Linked DNA regions of Callithrix jacchus. The protein of the gene in region 3 interacts with the protein of the main gene of each other region in a pairwise test. Links are inferred from orthologs where the notes say so. Each region holds a gene or a part of one and is shown on either strand. Other genes may lie near its edges.

Region 1 (2,989 bases), on a different chromosome or scaffold from region 3:
GGGCCTCCGTTCCTACCATGAGACTAGCAAGATGAAAGTGCTGAGATTCATTGCAGAGGTAATGGAGGAACTGTTCCCGCATTGATAGGTCAAGGGATGAAGTATCGCTGGCTAGGGAAGGCCCAGGGCAGGGATGAGATCCTAGGTATGGCACGTGGTAGGTGCCACATTACTGGTGGTATTTGTTGTTGCTGTTACATAAACTTAACATGTATTAGGTGCTAAAATATGTTAATATATTAGCTAATACAGTTTTGAATTTGGGTTTTTTTTTCTAGGTTTTTAAAGTATTTCTACTTTTCCTCAACTTTACTAAAGTACAATTGACAAAAATTGTATATATTTATGGTGTACAATGTGATTTTTAAGTATTTTGTTTTTTCATTCATTTATTTTTATTTTTCCCAAGATGGAGTTTTGCTGTGTTGCCCAGCCTGGAGTGCAAGGGTGCGATCTTGGCTCACTGTAACCTCTGTCTCTCGGGTTTGAGTGATTCTTGTGCCTCAGCCTCCCAAGTATCTGGGATTACAGGTGCATGTCACCACCATGCCCAGCTAATTTTAAATTTTTTTTTAGTAGAGACAGGGTTTTGCCGTGTTGGCCAGGCTGCTCTCGAATTCCTGACCTCAAGTGATCTGCCTGCCTCAGCCTCCCGAAGTGTTGGGATTACAGGCGTGAGCCACTGCACCCAGCCCATTCATTTTTTAATTGACTAATCAAAAGTATGCATATTTATAGGGTGCAACATGATGTTGTCATAATACATGTACATTGTGGAATGATTACATCAAGCTAGTTAATTCTCCATTGCCTCATATACTTGACTTTTTTTGTGATGAGAACATGTAAGATGTACTCTCTTAGCAATTTTAAATGTACAACACATTATTATTAACTATAGTCATCATGCTATACAGTAAATCTCCAGAACATATTCTTCCTATCTAACTGAAACTTTGTACCTTTTAACCAATATCTCCCCATCCTTCCTGACCCAAGGCCCTGGAAACTACCATTCTACTCTCTGCTTCTATGAGTTAGACCTTTCTGGATTCCATGTATAAGTGAGATCATCCAGTATTTGTCTTTCTGTGACTGGCTTATTTCACTTAGCATAATGTCATTCAGTATCATTCATGTTATTGCAAATGGCAGGATTTCCTTCTTTTTAAAGGCTGAATAAGTATTCCATTGTGTGTATGTATCACATTTCCTTTATCCATTGATGGACATGTAGGTTGATTCTATATCTTGGCTGTTGTAAATAGATTTTGTTTTATTTTCTATTCTTCATCTCAGGTTCAGAAAAGAGACCCTCGTGACTGGACTGCACAGTTCATGGAGGCTGCAGATGAGGCCTTGGATGCTCTGGATGCTGCTGCAGCTGAGGCTGAAGCCCGGGCTGAAGCAAGAACCCGCATGGGAATTGGAGATGAGGCTGTGTCTGGGCCCTGGAGCTGGGATGACATTGAGTTTGAGCTACTGACCTGGGATGAAGAAGGAGATTTTGGAGATCCCTGGTCCAGAATTCCATTTACCTTCTGGGCCAGATACCACCAGAATGCCCGCTCCAGATTTCCTCAGACCTTTGCCGGTCCCATTATTGGTCCTGGTGGTACAGCCAGTGCCAACTTTGCTGCCAACTTTGGTGCCATTGGTTTCTTCTGGGTTGAGTGAGATGCTGGGTATGTATATCACTTTGGATTGGGCAGTTAGGGTCTCTGGGGGACAAGGGGTCCATGGGATTGTATTTATGTGTATGAGCTAGAAGTCTTAGGAAACTCATTGTGGGGAGATGAGGAAAGTATGGGGCAGCACTCTTTGGTATGTATACTTCTTATTATTTGATATATATCATTGATTTTTTTACTTTTTCTTTCTTATGTTCACAGATATTGCTATCAATCGCAATAGCGTTTCCCCTGAGTGAGGCTGAATCCTCGGATTCCTTCTAAACACAGCTATCTAGAGAGCCACATCCTACTGACTGAAAGTGGCATGCAAGATAAATTTATTTGCTGTTCCTTGTCTATTGCTTTTTTTCCCCTTGTGTGCTGTCAAGTTTTGGTATCAGAAATAAACATTGAAATTGCAAAGTGAATTAGATGTGCCTCCTGTTTCTTTTTTTTCCCTACATTTGGGGAGCAGGCAACATGTAGGAGAGACAGGACCTTAGCTCTAGTTTGAAGGGTAGATCAGCTTTCAGCAGGTGGAAATGAGGATAGATCCAGCTAATGGATTGGGATACAAAGGCGGGATTAATGAACACAACGAGACCCAAGAACTAGTATAGTTTATTCAATAAATATGACTTCAGTGACTCTCATGTGATACATATGCTGCTAGGTGTCCCGGAGTGCACTGTGAGAAGGGTAATAGTGAGAGAGGGCATAGGTGCTCAGACAGTTGCATTTAAGAACACAGAGGAGACAAAACTCCTGGAGTCCAGAGCCTTATCTGGATGATAAGGTCCAGAGAGTAGGTAGTTGAAGGGTCAGAAGGTGACTGTTCTGGAGATAAAGGGTACCTGGCCTGTGATTCCAGGGTGGTGTTTATACAACCCACGTGGAAAGTGAAATAACTGCAGGAGAGTGGCAGGAGTAGGAATAGAGAACACCGTGAGTTAGATGCCAGAGTCTCCTCTGTGAGAAGGAAGATATACCCCTAGCCACATTGCTCATAAAGGGATGGGCTCCCAGGTACTCCTCCCCATCTCTGGAAATGCTGCCCAGGAGCCTGTCCTCTAGGAGGCCCTCACAATCTCCCGCCCACAGAGGACCAGGGCCACATCATAGAGACAGAGTCTTATGGACAGTGAAGGAGGCCTTACAATGGCTTCTTCTCTCCTGCAGGGAGAAAGAGAAGCCTTTGTTCCTTCAGGAACAAGAAGTACAGAGTAAGACAAAGCTCCATGCAGAGCTAGGCAGCCTTTGACTGTGACTGAGCAGGAACTTGGCTTGAGCTGCCAAGGTCTATGCTGGAAGCAAGG
Region 2 (4,013 bases), on a different chromosome or scaffold from region 3:
GACCAATTCATATTAGTCAGATATTAATATTTATTTACCTTGTCCCCGTTCCATGGACACTGGTCCAGTTCCTGGCATTCCAACCTGAGTCTGCATTCCTCCTAGAAGAAAAAGAGCAGACAAGAAAAAACACCAATCAGAACAGTGGCTGAGTTTACAAATTTCTTCATTCTGTTCCACAAGCAGAAACCTACAAAGGAAGATATTCAACAATGCAATGAGATAGAAGATGGGGTGTGTTAGTATATTTACAATGTATATTATGTTTCAGTGACAGAATAGTGAGTTCAAGAAGAATAATTAATCCCATTGGTTACCAAACTCTTGGCAGGAAGCTCCTCTATAATACAGGAAAACAATGTCACTTACCCATGGACCTCCTCTCATGAGAGGCAGTACCGTTTCTAGAATATTTTGTAATTCTGCGGGTATACTGTTTTGGTTGTGACAAGATTTGTGGGGCCATGGCTAGTTTTGAATGAGAAAGTGCCAGGGATACTAGATGTTCTGCAATGTATAAGTTCCACAAAATCAAGAATTACCCTGTATCCTGAACTTTCAAATGTCTCATGAACATTCACACAAATGAAAACTAACTTACAGTCTTCTGAACTTGGAACCTAAGTCTGTTGTATTTGTAAACACAAAGGTTCCTTGTACTGTTTATTTATATACACACACACTAAATTTTCCAGAAATGCAATTACTGAGTAATTATGAGTACTGCAGTTTAATAACTTTAACATGAGATTTTACCATTTCAGAAAATCACATAGCTGATGTCGAAGTCCTTGTGGTATTTGAGTTGCCAAAACAATATGCCTGTAATCTGTTCTGCATTTCCAGTTTTTACATTCATGAAGTAGGTATAAACATCTGACTATTACATTTGTTTCCTGGTGTAGTGGTGCCTAATCACTTGCTTATTAAATTTTTGTATTACAAATTAATGTCCTTTTACTTCTTTATAATTAGGACATCATACTGATTTTTTGAAATCATGTTACATAGGTTATATCCTTTGTGCATTTCATTTTGGCAGTCATTGCAAAATATCTGTTATGAAAGGGGGTCACTATGTCTAACGAGGCTGAGAACCACCAGTCTAACGAGCTGGGGAATGATAACTGCTATACAAGGAATAATCATGCACTACAAGTCCTTGTCTGGTCCTTTCCATAGAGCCGCAATTCTCTTTTCCTCAAAGGAGCAATATATGGTGTGAGTGGGGAGAAAAGACAAGCTGATCTATTGTTTGTTCATTAATACTTCCCTCAAATAGCAAGTACATGTCACATTCCCCTATTTCATTTAATATGCCAACTACCAAAGAGCTATGAATTAAGAAGCCAAAGTACTGAGTGCTAGCCCTAACCTTACTACTAAGTAATTTTAATTCCGAATAAATGATTTGATAAAATCAATACATTCCCAGGCTTCCTCATCTGTAAAGAAAATGAGTTGTCTGAACTAGCAGCCTCAGCACCATCAGGGAATTTGTTAGAATTACAAATTCTCGGGGCCCCACCTTAACCTACTGAATTAGAGTCTGGGGGTGGGGACCAGCAGTCTTTGTTTTATAAGCCCTTCAGGTGATTCTAACACATACCAAAGTTTGAGAACCACTAGTCGAACTGTCTCATGAACATTCATGCAAATGAAAGCTAGGTCTAAATTATTTCAAAGCTCTCTTCTAGACTTAACATTCTATTCACTCTATTTAGACCAATCACCGAAACAATACAAAAATTAAGGATTCAAGGAAAGAAATGGCCGAAGGCATTGCGGGCATACTTTCTAATATTATACATTATCACATAATGGCATTTTTATTTATATGAGCTAGATTCTCAGAGTGGAATTCTCCGGTCAAAATGTATACAAATTTTTAATGTTAGATTACTTTCTTAAAAGGCTGAAAAACTCCACATTTCCACCAGCCATATATGAGTATCATTTTTTTCTACCAACATTAAGTGTCATCTCTCTTTGAAACCTTTTCTAGTCTGATAGATTTAAGTAAAGTCTCACTGTTAGGGCCGGGCGCGGTGGCTCAAGCCTGTAATCCCAGCACTTTGGGAGGCCGAGGCGGGTGGATCACGAGGTCAAGAGATCGAGACCATCCTGGTCAAAATGGTGAAACCCCGTCTCTACTAAAAATACAAAAAATGAGCTGGGCATGGTGGCGCATGCCTGTAATCCCAGCTACTTGGGAGGCTGAGGTAGGAGAATTGCCTGAACCCAGGAGGCGGAGGTTGCGGTGAGCCGAGATCGCGCCATTGCACTCCAGCCTGGGTAACAAGAGCGAAACTCTGTCTCGGAAAAAAAAAAAAAAAAAAAGTCTCACTGTTATTTAATTTGTAACCCAGACTGTAAATGCCTTTGTTTTGTTGGCAATTTGGATGTATTCTTCTATGAAGTGCCTACTCATTTTTCTTTGCCCATTTTTCTACTAGGTTCTTTCTTTCCTCTATTTTCTTCACTGTCAGAGCATTTCCCGCACCCCCCAGAAACGAGGTCTCACTATGTTGCCCAGGCTGGTCTCTAACTCCTGGGCTTAAGTGATCCTCCTGCCTCAACCACCCAAAGTGCTTGGATTACAGGCATGAGCCACTGTGCTCAGCCTCAAAGAGCATTTTAACTAAAAAATCTTAGTGAGATTTTAAGTTTTAATAACTTCCTAAGTATAAATGCTATAAACTCACAAAAATATCACTTGAAATTTTAATTATTTGAATTTCTTTTATGCTTACTTTCAACTTTTATTAATTCCCTCTTCTTGGTATCCTCTGGCTTACTGTCTTTTTAAAATTCTTTACAACTAGTACTTAGTTCCTTTATTTTTTAATATAGGTATTTAAGGATATTCATTTTCCTTTAAGCACTGCCTTCACTGTTTCCCATACTTTTTCTGTATGAAATATACATGCATTTTGTCCTTTATACATTTCTTTTTATTTCCTCTTTAATTCAAGGATTAGAGTATGTTCCTTAATTTCACAAGTAAAGTTTTTTTTTTCAGTTGGCTTTTAATTATTTATTTCTAATCTTTCTGGCTTATAAACAAAGAATATGCTCTGTAAAATCTTCCTATCTTTGAATTTGTTAATTTTATGGCTAAGTACTGTAAATTTTTTTTTAAACTGTTCCTTGGTTAGTGAAGGTGGGGAGTACATTCTCTAGTCAAAAGATATAAGGCTCCCTCTATATATTAAGTGAAGTTTATTAATCCTATTATTTAATTCCTCAGTGTTCTTACTTGTTTGTCCATTAGCAAAATGCTAATTGAAGTGATAATCTAGAAACTACAAAATTAACCGGGTGTGGTGGTGCGTGCCTGTAATCCCAGCTACTCGGGAGGTCGAGGCAGGAGAACTGCTTGAACCCGGGAGGCGGAGGTTGCGGTGAGCAGAGATCACGCCACTGCACTCCAGCCTGGGCAACAAGAGTGAAACTCCATCTCAAAAAAAAAAAAAGAAAGAAAGAAAGATAATTCAAATCTAAGTGTAACTCTATTATAAAGTAGATACACAAAAATCCTGAGTAATCTAACCTACCCTAGAACAGATCAATTAATAAGAAGCAAGTTTGTTGCATTAAAAACTTTAAATATTGATAATACATTATGGGTTTATACAGATGTTTCATATGGGAAATCATTATTTCACTCAATCTTCTTAGTTACAATTGTTGAACAAGGAACAAGTATATGAGCAATACTCTTATTAATTGCCTATCTATACACTTTCAATAAATGTATATAGCTTTTAAATTTCTTTTTTTCCTTTTGTTGTTTGGTCTAATTATGTTTGTTAAAATACAATTTTATGTCAGTTTAACATGATATAACACATGGGACCTTGTATTTTTTTGTCTGTTTTCTTCATGAGCTTTTGAACTTAATCTAATAGTTCATTCATATTTAGCAGAATAACAACATTAGTTTTTATTCCTTCCATCTTACTCTACACTTATTATTACTTATTTTACATTGTCCCTTCCTTTTTTCCTTT
Region 3 (4,013 bases):
AGAATTGGATTAAGAATCCAATTTGTTTGGAGAGGTAGGGTTCAGAATAGGAAACCTTCTTTGACCTAAAATATAAAAGGTTTCATAATAAAATGACCAAGAGAATCTCATTATAGTATTTCAGCAAATCTCTGTTATGTTCTGAAATAGAAGTGGAACTAGAAATCACTAATCAATCACCAAATATTTATTAAGCATCTACCATTAACATAATTCCACATGACTATTAGAAGTTAGGAAGAGAGAAATGATGAAAAATGCATCTTTGTTTAGACTGTAACTAAAATAAAGACAGAAAACAAAAACTCCCAAATTATTTAGTGGCCAAAAATAGAATACATGCCATTTCCACAAAAATTATCTCGTGTTAAGTCCTTTATATGCAGCCATCCAGACTAGATTTTTTAAATTACTATACAATGTAAACAGTTTTAAACATATGAAAATTATAAGTGAATAAAGAATTTGTAAAAAATAGAGTTTTCTTTAAATGCAACATCTAAGAGTCTTCAACAAAAAAAGAAAGCAGTTTTTTAACTCTACTTTCAAGCCATAACACATACTAAAATTTCAGTCCACATTTTAAAACACATTTGGTCCAAAATCATGTCCATTCCAAATGTCGACACATCTTGCTTTATCTTAATACAAATAGTACCTGTCATCTGTAAAATGGGGGAAAATCAGTTATCTATTATATTAAAAAGGGTTCATGAGTCAAACGGATTTGAAAACCAGCCTGTGTAATAAACCTCAAAGTCCAAGACTAGCTGTAAAAGAATCACCCAGAAAAAACCTGAAAAATGGGATTTCCAGGCCCTACACTCCAGTAAGTCTATGATGAGATCCAGGAATTGGTATAATGAAACCTCCTAGCAATCTTGATGTACAGCAAGGTTTAGGAACACAGGCATAAACACTAGTAGAGAAGCAGAGGAAGGAACAAAACAGAGAGAGAGACATTGGGGGTGTCATCCTTCCCTCCTTAAAAACAGGTTTTTAAAACCTGCCAAAAAAAAACCATAAGAACAATAAATCAGAATATAATGGATTCTGAGTTTACCATTTTCAGGAATACTGGTGGAAGGCCCTGGTTCTCCAGGCGGTTCCAAGCTATCCAATAAACGATTCACTTTATTTCGAAGTTCTATCAGTTCTCGACGGAGGTACTTCACCTGACTTGATTCAAGGGGTCTTGGTTGGCCATTAACTGAAATAAAAGCATTTATTTGCTTAAAATGAGAAGTTCATGAATAAGTATATAAATAATATGCAACAAAAAAATACATACAATTCCTTTAAAAAAAGCAAAAAGAAGATACAGAAGTGACTTTAAAAAAAAAAAAAGAAATTCTTTATGGCTAATAACTTATTTTGGAAAAAAGAAGCATTCATCAGTCTTTCTTGATGCCAGACCTATGGCATTGCTGGTAAAAAGGTTTAGTAGGAAAATCCAACTATAATAAAATAATCCAATAGAAAGCTCTACTTTTTAACAGAACTTATTAAATTTAATAACAATTATTTAACTTTAAAAGCTCATTTTATTTCATGCTATTAATAGAATATATTAAATTTAGTAGAAATTGCTAAATTTAATAAGTCATGTAAGTTCAAAACCTCATTTTATTTCATGCTATTCTTAAAATAATACAAAAACTTTATACATAAAATGTTTACAGATATAACATTACTGATATATCATCACCTTTGCATAATTTTGTCTTGAAAATAAAACAACTAATTAAAATAGTTGATCTTAAAAGAAATCGCTAAAAAAATATATGCAGGACCAGCCATAGTGGCTCACACCTATAATCCCAGCACTTTGGGAGGCCAAGGTGGGAGGACTGCTTGAGCCCAGGAATTCAAGACCAGCCTGAGCAATACAGTGAGACTTCGTCTCTACAAGAACCTTAAAAAATTAGCCAAGTGTGGCAACACATGCCTGTAGTCCTAGCTACTCAGGAGGCGGAGATGGGAGGATTGCTGGATCCCGGGAGGAGACGTTCAGTTTGCTGAGATCACCCCACTACACTCCAGCCTAGATAACAGAGTAAGACCTTCTCTCAAAAATTTTTTTTAAATAAATATACATTTTAAAATATATGCAGAACTTATCAACATTACAACTGTCCTTCAAAGCAGCTACTTTCAGAGGCAGAATATAAGCCACAAAATGCCAAAGATTACTCAGTAATCACTGGTTGTGACTTCTTTAATGAAAGCAACATTACTTCAATTATTATTCATTTTGTCCAAATGACTTTCAGTTGACTAAAAAAAAAATGAAATCCTTCATTCAGCAACAAACATTGCCACCACTCAGGTTACTTTTAAAAAGAAAAAACAAAAAAGTGACACAAGGCTCTGATGGCAAACACCAAGACAGGAGTTCAAAAAAATTAAACTAAAATGCTTTATGCATTGCCAGTATACATATGTACAAACTCCTGAAGTACTTAATTAGAAAAGGACATCTATGTGAAGATAAAAGTTCAGGGCGATTCTTTGTTAAATATGTTTCAAACATCAAATCACCAATTATAAGCTTTTAGAAGAAAACTCTTCAGTAATTCACACTCCCTGGATAGCTATGAAGTTCAGTACAATTTCCTACCTACATCAATTAGTTATTGGTTTTCACTTGGTATTACTATTTTTTCCTCCAATATTTGAGGAGAAAAACAGCTCCTAACAGCCAGAAACTGGTCTGGTACAGTTAGGCCTGGCGCTCACAGGTAGGCCATGGTGTTCTCCTTTTGAACGTAAAATATTTCAAAGAACACCAACATTACACAAATAGATTAAGAGTCCATAATCACGTCAAAACTCAGATGAAAACAAGAACACTGACCACATCAGAAAAATGACCAAACAACCTTCCATCCCGGCCAATGACTGCTACTGCTGTACCAACTGCAGCTTCAGCCTCATTTCACTCCTCCCACCTTCCAGGTAAGGGTTAGTAAGATTCATTCCTCTCATCTTCTAGATAAGATTTGGTAAGATACCCAATCATAGAATCATCTCCACTTCCTGAGCATTCAATGTAGAGCAAAGCTCTACCTCCTCAAACCTTACCCAAAATCAGCTAACACAAACCCAAGCCCTACAAAAAAAATCCTTTTCTAACATACCCATAAGACATCCTATTGTTCTCCATGGTATCCATTCTCCCTTGCTGCAGTAACTCAGTTAACCCAAACCCGTTTACTATGGGTATGTTCCTGGTGATCTTTGGAGCACACTGATACATCTCACTAGAAGTTTTAAGAAGCTTGCACTTACATTCCTAGTATGGCCTATAATCTGTTATTATCTACTTAGTGGGCTTAAGAACACTATGTTTCAAATTATACTCAATTAAAAGTTTAGATTAACTAAGTTAATTAATTTATTATTTATATAACTAATATCAAGTTGATACCTAATATTAACTTAGTTATATAATAAATTAATTAGTTATATATTATATTTATTATATAACTAATAAAATTAATTTATTATATAACTAAGTTAATATTAGGTATCAACTTGATCGGATTGAGGAATGCCTAGATGACTGGTGAAGTACTGTTTTGGGTTGTGTCTGTGAGACTGTTGCCAGAGGATACTGAGATTTGAGTCAGTGAACCAGGAGAGGAAGACCCATCTTCAGTGTTGTGGGCACTATCCAATCAGCCCCCAGTGCAACTCTGACAAAACAGACAGAAGAAGATGGGATAAGTTTGCTTGCTGCATCTTTGGCTCTTTCTTCTTCCTATGCCAGGTGCTTGCTTCCACTCCTCCTGGCCTTGGACATCAGACTCCAGGACAAGAGACTCCAGGTTTTTTGGCCTTTAGACTCTAGGACTTGTACCAGCAGCTTCCCAGGGAACTCTCAGGCCTTTGGCAACAGACTAAGACTGCACTATCAGCTTCCCTAGCTTTCAGGCTTTTGGATGTGGACTATCAGCCTCAGTTTCTCTCATTCCCCAGCTTACAGATGGCCTATCATGGGACTTTGCCTT

What was found. The genes of interacting proteins can lie anywhere in the genome.
Region 1: the proteins of TFG (region 3) and melanoma-associated antigen D1 interact in binary tests that used the Homo sapiens proteins (3 or more experiments, as listed by UniProt). The two-hybrid records come from large-scale screens. The link is inferred for Callithrix jacchus from reciprocal best matches to the Homo sapiens genes TFG and MAGED1.
Region 2: the proteins of TFG (region 3) and CSTF2 interact in binary tests that used the Homo sapiens proteins (3 or more experiments, as listed by UniProt). The two-hybrid records come from large-scale screens. The link is inferred for Callithrix jacchus from reciprocal best matches to the Homo sapiens genes TFG and CSTF2.

What each region holds. Positions count from the first base shown.
Region 1 is NC_133524.1:52,176,849-52,179,837, forward strand, and holds the end of melanoma-associated antigen D1, read left to right. Parts: coding exon 1-58; intron 59-1,299; coding exon 1,300-1,677; 3' UTR 1,678-1,685; intron 1,686-1,892; 3' UTR 1,893-2,101; downstream 2,102-2,989. UniProt on the Homo sapiens protein: Involved in the apoptotic response after nerve growth factor (NGF) binding in neuronal cells. Inhibits cell cycle progression, and facilitates NGFR-mediated apoptosis. May act as a regulator of the function of DLX family members.
Region 2 is NC_133524.1:97,137,511-97,141,523, reverse strand, and holds part of CSTF2 (cleavage stimulation factor subunit 2), read right to left. Parts: intron 3,461-4,013; coding exon 3,338-3,460; intron 102-3,337; coding exon 39-101; intron 1-38. UniProt on the Homo sapiens protein: One of the multiple factors required for polyadenylation and 3'-end cleavage of mammalian pre-mRNAs. This subunit is directly involved in the binding to pre-mRNAs.
Region 3 is NC_133516.1:91,893,417-91,897,429, reverse strand, and holds part of TFG (protein TFG), read right to left. Parts: intron 1,211-4,013; coding exon 1,064-1,210; intron 1-1,063. UniProt on the Homo sapiens protein: Plays a role in the normal dynamic function of the endoplasmic reticulum (ER) and its associated microtubules. Required for secretory cargo traffic from the endoplasmic reticulum to the Golgi apparatus.